Drosophila melanogaster: one gene and its partners. The protein of the gene in region 3 purifies or fractionates together with the protein of the main gene of each other region. This does not show direct contact. Each region holds a gene or a part of one and is shown on either strand. Other genes may lie near its edges.

Region 1 (4,886 bases), 7.8 Mb from region 3:
TTAAATGTTGCACGTATGAAGTAAAAGTACGGGATGAAGCGACTTGTCCATCTCTGTGAATTGATGTTCCGTTTAGCAAGCCCTTAAACTTAGGATTATAATATTAATTGTTCCTTGTCCACACTTCACAGATATTCAGATGCTGACTCTGTTGGTCCCTGTGCTCATTGGCTTCCTAGCGGAACCCAGTCGACTCCGGACGCTGCCAAAGTATCAACGGCAGCTGCACGACCAGGCGCTGCAGTGGCTACTGAAGATCGGTCCGAAATATCCGCAGGAGTTTAAGGCCCTGATGGGTCAAACACCGGAACTGCGACAAAAACTAGAAGCGGCCATTCGCAGCCAACAGCAGTCGATTAACATTGCCCAAAAAGCAAGCGAGGCGCAGAGGAACCTGCTGGCCAAGCCGCAGAAGCCTACGATCAAGCTGAAGACGGATTTCAGTAACTTCCAATGAGCGCCTCCCCCGGGAATCGAACAAAATAGTTCTCAAGCTGCTAGTGCTATCATAAAAATGCTTTGTAATACATTGTTACCGCATGAACAATAGGATGGATCGGTTCTTTTTATATTGAAAATAAGGTTTAGACAATTTTGCTCTAATAACTAAATATCCGGGATAAAAGTTTTGAAAGGATTGTAAAACGGCAACTAAAATATACATTAGTTTTTTTGACTGCTTGTGTATTAAATTGTTTCGTTTTGCAGGGCGTTTTGCTATAAATATACCTTTTTTCAAACCTAAGCAATATTTTTAAACTACAATCAGAAAAATGAGCCACCCTAATGCACATCGGTCCGGCATTTGATTTTGCTGTATGTGAAATACGTTAAAAGTACCTACAAGTTTATAAATTATTTGTTAGCCATTGTAATGAACTATTATATAACGCGATATGAAGTAAAAAATATAAACTTTTAAAGCTTAAATTAATCAATATTACATATTTACTTATTAGTTCCTATGGAACTGTATATTCCATTTCCAATTCCTGCTTGACTGTATTAATCACTTCATTCTCGCTAAGCGGCTCGGATTTTAGATCATTCTGTGGTGCCGGCTCTGGATCGATTAATTCAACATGTGTACCCATTTTTGCATAATCGTGTTTGGGGCGTGGTAAAGAAACTAATGCTGATGGTAAGTCCGTAAAGAGTTGTGATTCCAAGCGGCTGAGAAGAGTGGTACGATAGAAAAGAGCTTGCAACCGCTTGCGGAAAAGCTGGATGGGTGGTAAAGATTCATTGTATTCGAAGCTACGTGTTTCCGTATCCTTGCGACAATCTCCGGAAAGAATGCATAAGGCTCGAAACCCCATCATAGTTGACCAGTTGGGTGGCAAAAGTGGGCTCTTCATATCACCTTCCTCGTCCGGAAGGTTTCGGATCATGCTGTTGTAGCACTTAAGCACATCATTTGGCATAAATATGTTTTGTAAGAGCGAGGGTCGAATTGGTGGCTTATATGCAAGAGCTCTGATCACGTAGGCAAGGTTATAAACGTCTTTTGGAACTGGAAAAGTTTTTGGAGTGCTCAGCGTCAGATTATAACTAAACTTAAAGAAGTTGCAGAACTCTATATCAACTTTCGAAAGTCTTGAGAAACTCTCTGCCTGTCGCTCGATCCTAGCCTTTTTCGATTTGGGACCGCGCACCCGAGTTCCTTTCGGGGGGTTATCATTAACTAATGACTCTGGGTCCTCTTGCCACTCTTGCAAACGCTGCGCCCAGTTATCAGAGTTAACCAAGGACACCTTCTTCGATCGGCGGCGTGGCAGGTCTTCCACTTTTGCATTGGGATTTTGTTCAAGGAATTTCTTGATGACTAGGAAGCGGGTTCGACAGCTGGTCCGCGTGTGATTGCCCAAGAACGTGGCACAGTTAAGCCACTGGGAAGCCCCGTATTGCGTTACGAAGCTCATCAGCCGTGTGTCGTCCTGAACGGACCAGGAGTCGGTCTTGTTGCGTTGTGCCAGTACATTGTGGTAGCGAGTTCGGAGTTGGGTTAACGACCGGTTTGGGAAAAGAGAACGCGGAAAACAGTGAAACTTTCCATTGTACTCTTCAACGGCGGCGAACAGCATCATGTCCTCCTTGGTAGTGAAGGGTTCTGCAGTTTCAAAGGAGCGAAATAATAAATTAAAAATTATTCAATATATTGGGTACCTACCGTGACTGATGCTAGGATGCAACACGTAGTAGTAACGACCAATCAGCGTTGATTTGGACTTGTCCGGGAAGTATTCCACGACTTTTTTCCAGTTTATTACACTGTTTGCCGTATTCCTATCAACGATCGCCCTTAGTTTATCGTTGTCCTCTTCGCTCCAGCGGTGGCTGTTCTTTGGCTCCAGCAGAAAACGTAGGGCGGTATGAAAGCGTACGAAGCACTGATAGTCGGAACGTCGGTCTAGCGACGCGGCTATCAACTCCCAGTTCTGCATCCTGTTCGCAGTGGCCACCGCCAGTAAAGTTTCGTCCTCCTCGGGTGACCAATCGTCTCGCCTGAGATCTGGTGTTAAGTAGACCCTCCACATTGCCTCACAGCTATATGGTGAGTGCCGATATTCCAAGTCCAGGGTGCTGATCTGGTTCCAGTCGATGCTGAAGCTACTATCCGCAGTTGCCAGCAGACTTACCAGTGTACTTAAGTGTCGCTCGATTGGCTTGCGCTTCAGGCTTCCGCTGGGCAGCGCATTCGTACTGTGGGCCCTATGCTCCAGTAACTGAGAATTGAGTTTTTTATAAAACAGAATATTAGTATTGCTATTTAACTTTTCATTGCTATTAAATGGGTATTTGGCAATCAATCTGAACCACTCGAAGGGTCCACTCACCTGTTGTTTTATACCCATTATCACATTCTTTTTGTCTAGCAATGTCCATACATGTCTGGAGTGCATGTCAAAGTCGGTGGGAAACATCTCCGTGTGGCACCGCGCCTCGTAATCCTCGTTGTTAGGACAGCTTCGACCATCGATGTCTCGGAAAAACAGGTTGCCCTTGAAGCGAAACGTGCCCTTCCGCAGGATCGCCCCGCTAAGATTGAGGGAATTCGGGCCGAAATGGGAACGAGGTCGCAGCCGGCGCACCAGGATGTCCTCGTTCCGAGAGAAGCGGGCCCTTACTACTTGTAACATGGCCAGAATTTTGGTCCGGACTTGCATGAGCCGGCGCTGGAGCTCCTGATTCAGCTGCAGTGCGTTGGCGGCGCTCGGCTTCGCTGTGTTCTGCAAGAGGGCCGAAATCTCGTCCATAAGCTGCTGCTGGTTTATGCGCAGATCATCGGCATCGTCCATTGCTCAGGTTGTTTTGTTTACATTGCCTTTGACTTTAGCGATGAACTATTCCCGGCATCAACTATCGATAAAATGGTTGCAATGGTCGAACTGCATTAAGCAAATTAATACCCTGCAAATAAAGTAACATTGAACATTACATAGGAAATTGCTGTATTATTGGACTAAGACCTATTAAAGAATAGATAGAGATAAAATAGATATCATAACTGCCATTTTTCGTCCTTATTTATTCCCAGAAACTTTGGTTTTATCTAGTGGAAAGAACATGATTTCAATAAACTCAGTTGTAAAAGCGCGGGATTATTTTAAACAAAAGTTTGGTCAAAAATAGTTTTTTAGAATAAAGATCTTAAAACTATCCGCCATGCACTAAATAATGATACCCTTGGTAACAAAAAATATTTAGTATGTCAAAATGTTTTGTAATTTTAATTTTTTTATGTTGTATAACGTGATCTGTAGAAACTATTAATGTATTCCGATTTTTGTTAAGCCTTTCATACGCCCTCAAATTGGCGAAAATTTGGGTAGATTTAATATCAGCTGTTGTCAAACTCGCAACCAAGCCTGAGTACACCTAATTAGGTGAGCATCTCAAGGAAAAACGATATTCAACACTAGTCGAAATTGGCGAATCAGCAGTGACCGATGACAATACCAATCGCCTATCGCTGCTGCTCGAGAAACAACAAAAGAGAACAGAGAAAAAAAAACGCGTAGTAGCAACTTAATTAACAAAATTCGTGGTGAATGCGCTAGCATAACATGGAAGATGTCCCGGTCAAGATAGTCGAGCGCTACAAACCACCGCCTGCCGTGTACCACCTGCCGCAGGCGACCCTCAATCGCCTGTCGCAATTCCGAGAAGGTTTCTACACGGATCATCCGGATTACCAGTATGACTGTCAGCTGGAGAGGGCCGTGCTGAGTCAGGCGCAACGATGGCGCCACCTGCGTCGCCAGCAGCGCGAGGAGCGAGCCAGTCGCCAGGAGCGTCGCAAGGAGGAACGCCAACGGGCGCTGGAGGCGAGACAGAAGGAGATGCTTGGAGCAGTTGATTATCCTAGTGCGGACGACTTGTCATCGGATGAGGACGAGAAGGAGCGAAAGAAGAACGAGCCCGAGCAGAGGGACGAGGAACAGCAACAGCAGCCACCACCTCCAATCACCGCTGAGTCACGCGACTCTTCCCACGAACCAAAGTCAATAAGTGTGTGTAATTTTCACAATATCTTGCAGCCCACCATTCTGAGCACCACTCCAGTGGTCAGTCCGCAGACGCTGCACAAGCGTAACAGCTCCCTAAACTACGCAGACTTTGAGTACAATATGAACTCCACACCTTTCGACAATATCGAGCTGAAGACCATCAACGATCTAGACATACTAGCTCAGGTTCTGCACCAGACACAGCTGGAGAAGCGCATAGATCAACAGCAGCAGGATCAGCAGCAGCAGGAGCCGCCGCATGAGGATCATTCCAAGGAGGAGCAATCTGGCAATGAAGTGCCAGCTCCGGTGGAGCTAGCAATGACTACGCTGGCGGAGACCAAAGCGACGCTCGACAGCGTCAATTTCCATGTT
Region 2 (4,298 bases), on a different chromosome or scaffold from region 3:
TCAAAGCTTTAACACTGAAGTAAACGCAAGCGCGTACACCAAAGAGGTCCGGGCGAATGGAATCCCAGCCTGCAGTTGTTCGTAATGATATTTGTTGGTCGGATTGGCAATATGTTGTTGATGCATTTCTACGCCCCAGTAACTAAGCGCACAGTCTCTCTTCACGTGCACGCCGGAATCCCAGTGCACAGAATTTTACTGTATTGTACTGCTAAGTACGGTTAGTACTAGTATCTTGTCTAGGATAATGTATTATGTTATTTGCCATATTTAGTCTATTGGTTTGTTTTATATGGGTCCTGGTCAAGTCTATACTCTGCACCACAGTGTGCAAATCCTTAAGCAAATTTTTAAACATTGAACTACTGCATATATGTATTAACGTAAGTTCTAAGCCAGATGTATCGTACTATTTACGTTGTTTGCATTTTTGTATTCCTAACTTGGACACTAACTTTTTGCTAATCTAGATTGCATGGAATTTAGGCAGCTTTACGGCAATCGAATACGTTCAATGCCAATTACTCTTGTTGCAACGTGTATGTATTTTATTTAAATCTATCTATGAATATTTTACAAGAACAAAATATCAATCAACTCCTTGAGCGATCTTGCAGTCAAAGGAGCTCGCAAATAAAGAAAAAATCACACAAATGTATATGTATATTCAGGAGGGGAGATTTTGCTGTTTAATGTCCTCCTCTTCGCCCTCCAGCTCTACATGGTCATACATGCGATAGGCTTTGAACTGGCCCAGCTTGACACCATCCACGTAAAAGAAGCTGAGAAAACATCTGCGGCACAGGTAGGAGGGATCGTGCAGCTGTCGCCGGGACTGGTTCACGATGAAGCTATAGCTGCGAATGCCGCACATATAGCAAGTCCTGCGATTAAACGTACTGAAGGCGTGAGGATAGGGATACAGGCTGCGATCTGGCCGTTTACTAAGTGGCGTTAGCACCTCTACCTGGGAGATCACAAACAGGTGTTCGCAATTGCCGTGGTGCAGGTAGTGTAGCGGTGATCCGGGGCTGACAGTGAGATCGATGAATCTTTTGCCCTCCATACTCTCCACCTTAAGCGTTTCTCCGTTCACTCCGTTCGCTCTGGCAGCCCACTGCAAGACGGTCTTGGAATAGTCGGGATTGTCCGGATTGCGCTGGTCGTTGTAGAATGTGTCGTTGATGAAGAAGTAACCGGGATTTGTGTCAATGGATGGCAACGGTGCATCTGGATCGTCGCTGATGTCGACAAACCGTTTTCCATTGCAAACGCAGCTGATCTTGTCCCGCAGCTCGGTCAGATAATTGCTGCCCAGACATACGAACTCCTCGGCGAAAACGGGAATCTCCACCTTAAACCCGCGATGGTAGGCCCGCGGTGGTCGATATAGACGCACGGTTAGCTCCAGTTCGCCGCAAGCATCGATGTGCAGGTTAGGCGAGTCTGTCGGCGTCGGATTCAGTTTGTGGCTGTACTGGGTGCGGCCAAAGGGACACTTACGGGACTTGTCCTTGTGCTGGCTTAGAGCAGTAAAAGTGGAGGGCACATGCTGGTTCTCCTGCGGCGGAGAAAAGGTTGGGCGGCATTTGTCTGCGGCGGGCTGGAAGACTGCAATCGAGCTGTCGTCTGGGGACTCGATCAAGTCCAGGGAACAGCTTTCAGACACGTCGACAAGTACTGGGTTTTTTTGGAGAAAGAAGGGCACTTCGTCTGCAGTACCGGATATTTTCTTTTGATAGTCGGCTAGAAAGTCTCGCAGGCTTAAAGCTGGATTCGTTGTAATATAGGTGGTATCCATGGTACTAAGAGGTATGTCTTGAAAGAGTGTTTTTTGTTCAGGATTAGACTCAGTTCTCCACACTCAATGATCTTCTCCAAACTTGTTAATAGCCTCCTTGTAAGTTATATTTAGCTTCAGAGATTCTGGCTTTGGCTCGGTCTGATCGTCCTCTTCAGTCTCAGCCGACTTCTCCACCTCCTGGTGCAAATTGTCCACGTAGACCCTTTCAAAAGATATCACCTTGGTGGATTTGTCCACGTACTGGTACCGCTGGCGACACACTGACTCAAAAAGCGGATCACTTGCCAGATTGTCTTTTTCCTTCTCAAAGAACACGTTGGTTCCCACGGAATGTTCGTAGCGTCCCCGATAAATGCTTCCATTTACCTCGGCCATGGGCGTGTCACTCTCGATTCCGATGATCTTAATGGCCGCGTCCTCGTGCTTCAGCTGGTGCGGATGAATGTGGTTCTTGAAATCCGCAAATACCAGGTACTCTGTGTCCTCGTACTCCGAATCGGAGGAATCGTTCATGTTCTCCTTTTATCGTTATGCATGGGCCCTGATTGATGGTTGAATGATGGCGTTATTTCGCAATATATGACTTCCTTAAACAATAATTTGTCTGATTCCCATTTACAAAACCTTGTTAGAAATGTGCGTGCACATTCCTCTTCTTTCCTTCCTATGGTAAATTTAAAATGGCATTGTGGTGTGAAAATACTATTATTTTTATCATCCAAAGAACTGCTTTCTTAAATACCGGCAGTTATCGATAGGTAAACCCACCACCAAACCATCGAAACTATCGAGGCGAAAACTGTCATCGGTAAAAACGAGGCGAACACAAATCTGTTTCAATTTGTGTCAAAAACTACGTACGTTTTCGTATAGTTGTAAATATTAGTAAATAATAAATAAATAAGCTTATAAATAAATATTTATGCTGACGTGGTGTGGCGCGAAACAAAGTCGAAAAGGGTTTAAAAACGTAGACTTTTGAACGAAAAACAGCAACCCAGCAACCCAGCGTACGTGTGTTTTCACAGGGCAGCCATTTTGGGCGAACTCAACGTCAGCAGAACGAGCTCGTAATTTGTACATTTATTAAACGTAAGTACAGTGTGTTTAATTAAATATCAGTGTAGTAGTGCGAACGCAGTGAAACCTAGACATTTCGGTGTCCGCAGCCTGAATTTATTTACTTATGGCTTGGATTTTCACTGCATTTGCATGATGAACTCTTCATTCGCGCTCTTAATGTTTTACGCTCTTTATGCTCACTTTCGCCGCCCTTTTCTCATTGACAGCTACCATACATACATAGTTACGACAACTGCCGTTTTGAGTACCACGCCGGAAGCTTTTGCGCCAACAAAACCGAGCTTTTGTAGCAGACGTAAACAAACCCAAATCCAAAGCAATGGCCGATGAAGATATCACATTGAACGAGGATCAGCTCCTGGAGTCATTGGAGGAGACGAACGGGGAGCAAGAGACTGAGATCGCCACAGAGGTCGAGGTGAGTTGGGGTTGCCCTTGTAGACAGTGCCCAAGAACCAGTTTCTTGGCCTCACGCCTTGCGAAAGCCCGCCGAATTCCCTGGAAAAGCTCGCAAAGCTTTGGGGGATATACAAAGCCGAAAACCGCAGCAATGGCTGCCATTTTCAGAGCGTCACTTCGCACCGCCACTCCATTCCATTGTCTGCTGTGGTTTCGGGCGTTTGCTCATCGCTCCAAATCAAATACCACTAAATTTCATATTTTCCTCGTCGCCAGGAGGAGGGCAGCATGCAAATCGACCCGGAACTGGAGGCCATAAAGGCTCGAGTCAAGGAGATGGAAGAGGAGGCCGAGAAGATAAAGCAGATGCAGTCGGAGGTGGACAAACAAATGGCCGGTGGGTCTACCACCGGCTTGGCCACAGTCCCGCTTTCTCTTGAGGAGAAGCAGGAAATCGACACGCGGTCCGTCTACGTGGGCAATGTGGACTACGGCGCATCGGCCGAGGAACTGGAGGCCCACTTCCACGGATGCGGCACAATCAACCGAGTAACCATACTCTGCAACAAGGCTGACGGGCACCCCAAGGGATTCGCATACATTGAGTTTGGTTCCAAGGAGTTTGTCGAGACGGCATTGGCCATGAACGAAACCCTCTTCCGAGGGCGTCAAATAAAGGTGAGTATCTGAAGCACTTTTTGCTAGTCCTGCTACCTATCAAACTCTCATGTACATATGTGGATAGAATGAGTCCTAGGGACTCCTACGTAGCGCAATTTTGAAAGCACATATTTAGAGTTGACTTTAGCTTAATCTATTGACTTTCAGGTAATGTCGAAGCGCACAAACCGCCCTGGACTCTCCACCACAAACCGTTTCGCACGCGGCAGCTTCCGGGGTCGAGGAGCCCGTGTCTCCCGGGCGTGCTGTCACTCCACCTTCCGAGGCGCCCGAAGAGCTATGTAAGTGGGCTCTGGAAAATCCCGATTGGATCGAGCTAATCCCGGTCTGT
Region 3 (3,786 bases):
AGTGCCCAACCGCGAGTTGATCGGCACCGACTATGTCAGCAAAATCGTCGCCAAGGAAAAGTGTCTCCTGAACGGGGTGAGAACTGGAAGCTTGCGTCAGCACTTCTGTTTGTTTATGTGTAATTCGATCCAGACGCTGCTCAACGAACAGCCTCAAGGCAAACGCATTCGAACGCTGGACGATTTGGACACCGACGATGAGGGGGAAGAGACCGAAATTCGCCGGGATGACGAGTACTACAAGAAGTTCAGATTCAATCTGAATCGCGACAAGAACTTGTCCATCTACGCCAAGCGCGAGGAAATATTGGCGGCCATCAATGCTCATCCGGTAGTCATTATTAAGGGCGAAACAGGATGTGGCAAGACCACGCAGGTGAGCAAAACTTAAATAAAATCCTAACTTTTTTATTAAGTCTATATTTTAATAAAGCCAACGCAAGCGAATTATAATTAAACCTTTTATCCTCGACTTTTGAAATTCAAATCCAAACTAGTCGAGAGTATTTAATATTATATAATAAATAATAATCTTCAATATACTTTTCAACTCTTTATATAAGAATAGCAAAGCCTAGGAAACTTATATCCTATATAGTTATATATCCTATCCTACATACTTAAATACAATGAATATTTTATGTGCAACAGATAAACAAGATCACATCGCGCAAAAATGCTAGTTATTTAATTATGTAAAAGTTTTATAAACTAACTCAAGTATCCAAAATAGCTTTGAGTTCTTCTTCCGTGACCTCCTCGCTTTCACCCACTTCCATTTCCTCGTCGTCACTAAACTCAATCATCTCATACTCTTGCTGCACGTCTGCTGGAAGTTCCCTCTGAAAAACGGTGGCCGAGGACATGCGGCGTTGATAAGTCTCGTTGACCTCCAGCTGCACTTCTAGTTCATCCGCCTGGTTTTGCGGCTCCCGTTCCTCGACGCCGTACATGGCCTTGTTCCGCACCCTCTGGCGCACTTCCAACTGGTTGCCTGTAGATGTTGTGGTACAATTCTCATCTGGAGTACTCTTTCTAGCTCCTAGAACACTTTGGATATCGGCAAAGACTTCTCGCAAATGGCCGAATATTTGAGAGGGCGGCAAAGCGTGCTCATGACCAGCCGCCAATTGCTTCTTTTGGGCATTGTATGCCGCTTCCAGTTCACACAATGGCTGGCTTGCCTGGTCCAGTGCTCGCAGACCCTCCAGTTCGTATGTGAGACTGACGCCGTTCGCACGCTGTTGCTTCTGCATCAAGGCACTCTGCCTCTGTTCCTTGGCACCCGCTACGGTCTCCACACGGTCGTAGTCCACCAGATTGTCCAACCCCTGGCAATAGTCGAGCGCGGTGAAGCGGAAGGCCTGCTCCTGGGTCAGGCGCCACAGCATGTAGGCGATCTGATGAGTGTCCTTCCGCTCCGGACTATCCTTGCGCAGATCTAGAGCGTAGTCTGTTAGTTCTTGCCAAGTGCGCGGTGAGACCTCGATCTTAATAAAGTTGTGCGTGGGCTGCTTGTAGTAGATTACGTAGAGCAGAAAGAAACCTCCGATCCTTTGAGCGCGAGATGCCGGGAAAACGTCCCCGGTGGTGCGTCGGGAGCACGACAGTCGCTTGGCCACATGCAGGGCCGCCAGTGTGGTGGCTATCACCTCTGTGTGGTTCGTCTGGGCAGTGAAGAGGTGCTGCAGCTGCAGTTCTCGCCAGCACCGGCAGAACACCTCGAACTCGCAGTTTTCGCCATCATTAACCAATCGCTGAAATCGTTGCACCAGCTCCCAGCAGTCGTCAAAGATATTCAGCTCCATTCTGAATCTTAATTACGCGAAATATATGCGCATCTCTCATTCAAAAGAGCCTCAAAATATAAACAATAACATTCGCCGGGAATAAGCTTTTACAACACTAGCCGGGGAGTTCATCGATAAATATGTAGTGTTCATAACTGCTTAGCTATTTTCAAAAAAAAAGCGCAAAACTATAAAAACTGTTTGAAAAATGTGTAAAAAATACAATTACATTTTTGTTCTGCTTTGTAAATATTTAGATATTTTCTTATAATTATTATTAGTATTCAATCAATTATTCTTACAGGTGCCCCAATACATTTTGGATGAGGCCTATAAAAGCGGTAAATACTGCAACATTGTGGTGACACAACCCCGGCGCATAGCTGCCATCTCCATAGCGAATAGAGTTTGCCAGGAGCGCGAGTGGCAGCAGAACACGGTGTGCAGCTTCCAGGTGGGCCTGCACCGCCCGAACTCTTTGGAGGACACTCGTCTGTTGTACTGCACCACCGGGGTGCTGCTGAACAATTTGATTAACAACAAGACGTTGACCCACTACACCCACATTGTGCTGGACGAGGTGCATGAAAGAGACCAGAACATGGATTTTCTTCTGATCGTGGTGCGTCGCTTGCTGGCCACGAACTCGCGGCATGTAAAGATTATCCTGATGTCGGCCACCATCGATGCCAAGGAACTGTCCGACTACTTTACCACCACTAACTCAATTCCGCCAGTGATCACCACCAATCATCGACGTAAGCACTCGATCGAGAAGTTCTACCGTGACCAGCTCGGCAGCATTATTTGGAATGAGGAAGATGTGGGACACCAGCAGGTGCCAGAAATCAACAAACACGGTTACAGGGCAGCGGTAAAGATCATAGTGATTATTGACAACATGGAACGGAAGGCTGCAATCCAGTCGCGGCAGAGCTATGACGAGGCCCTGCGCTATGGAGCTGTGCTCATCTTTCTGCCAGGCATCTACGAAATCGACACGATGGCAGAAAATCTTACTTGTATGCTGGAAAACGAGTAAGCATTGTTATCCGTGAGAATTGCTCACTGTACAAATTTTGAAGTAGCTAAAATTGTATCATTATAATTTCCAATCTTTATTGTTTAATTGCAGCCCCAACATTAAGGTCTCTATTGTTCGCTGTTTTTCGTTAATGACACCGGAAAACCAACGGGATGTCTTCAATCCCCCGCCTCCCGGTTTCCGCAAGATCATTCTGACCACAAACATTGCTGAGAGCTCCATCACGGTGCCAGATGTCTCATACGTTATTGACTTTTGTCTTGCCAAAGTAAAGGTAACCGATACGGCTAGCAGCTTCTCTTCGCTCCGCTTAACCTGGGCGTCCAAAGCCAATTGTCGTCAGCGTGCCGGCCGCGTTGGTCGTCTTCGTAGTGGACGCGTTTACCGTATGGTTAATAAACACTTCTATCAGAGGGAAATGCCCGAGTTTGGAATACCAGAAATGTTGCGCTTGCCCTTGCAAAACTCGGTGCTCAAGGCCAAAGTGCTGAATATGGGATCACCGGTGGAAATCTTGGCATTGGCTCTATCTCCGCCGAATCTGTCGGACATACACAATACAATATTGCTTCTGAAAGAGGTGGGTGCTCTGTACTTAACAGTAGACGGCATCTACGACCCGTTGGATGGCGATCTTACCTACTGGGGCACAATCATGTCTCGGCTGCCGTTGGACACACGTCAGTCCCGGCTTATCATATTGGGTTATATTTTTAACATGCTCGAAGAAGCTATTATTATAGGTAAGCGGGCAACAGTAGTTAAGCTTTAGGATAACGGGGGGAATATTCTTTGTCTTGCATTAATGATTTTTTTTTTAAATATGTTGTAGCTGCTGGCTTATCGACGCCTGGCTTGTTTGCGCACGAAGGTGGTAGGTCTCAATTAGGCGATTCATTTTGGATGCACTATATCTTCTCCGATGGATCTGGCTCCGACTTGGTGGCCATT

The links.
Region 1: the proteins of Pbp45 (region 3) and Pbp95 fractionate together in Drosophila melanogaster (co-fractionation; 5 studies listed by BioGRID, with this or other methods). This does not show direct contact.
Region 2: the proteins of Pbp45 (region 3) and Pbp49 fractionate together in Drosophila melanogaster (co-fractionation; 5 studies listed by BioGRID, with this or other methods). This does not show direct contact.

Annotation. Positions count from the first base shown.
Region 1 is NT_033777.3:8,012,251-8,017,136, reverse strand, and holds Pbp95 (PSEA-binding protein 95kD), read right to left. Parts: upstream 3,347-4,886; 5' UTR 3,300-3,346; coding exon 2,838-3,299; intron 2,727-2,837; coding exon 2,171-2,726; intron 2,111-2,170; coding exon 963-2,110; 3' UTR 527-962; downstream 1-526. Other genes in the region: CG2747 (uncharacterized protein), read left to right, coding at 132-457; CG10435 (uncharacterized protein), read left to right, coding at 4,068-4,886.
Region 2 is NT_033778.4:8,128,828-8,133,125, forward strand, and holds Pbp49 (PSEA-binding protein 49kD), read right to left. Parts: upstream 2,497-4,298; 5' UTR 2,429-2,496; exon of another isoform or gene 2,346-2,428; 5' UTR 2,318-2,345; coding exon of another isoform or gene 1,865-2,317; 5' UTR 1,802-1,864; coding exon 668-1,801; 3' UTR 527-667; downstream 1-526. Other genes in the region: CG42516 (uncharacterized protein), read right to left, coding at 1,865-2,317; Pabp2, read left to right, coding at 3,207-3,305, 3,563-3,964, 4,115-4,248.
Region 3 is NT_033777.3:15,837,605-15,841,390, forward strand, and holds Pbp45 (PSEA-binding protein 45kD), read right to left. Parts: upstream 1,912-3,786; 5' UTR 1,809-1,911; coding exon 717-1,808; 3' UTR 542-716; downstream 1-541. Other genes in the region: spn-E (spindle E), read left to right, coding at 1-76, 134-376, 2,095-2,828, 2,926-3,578, 3,668-3,786.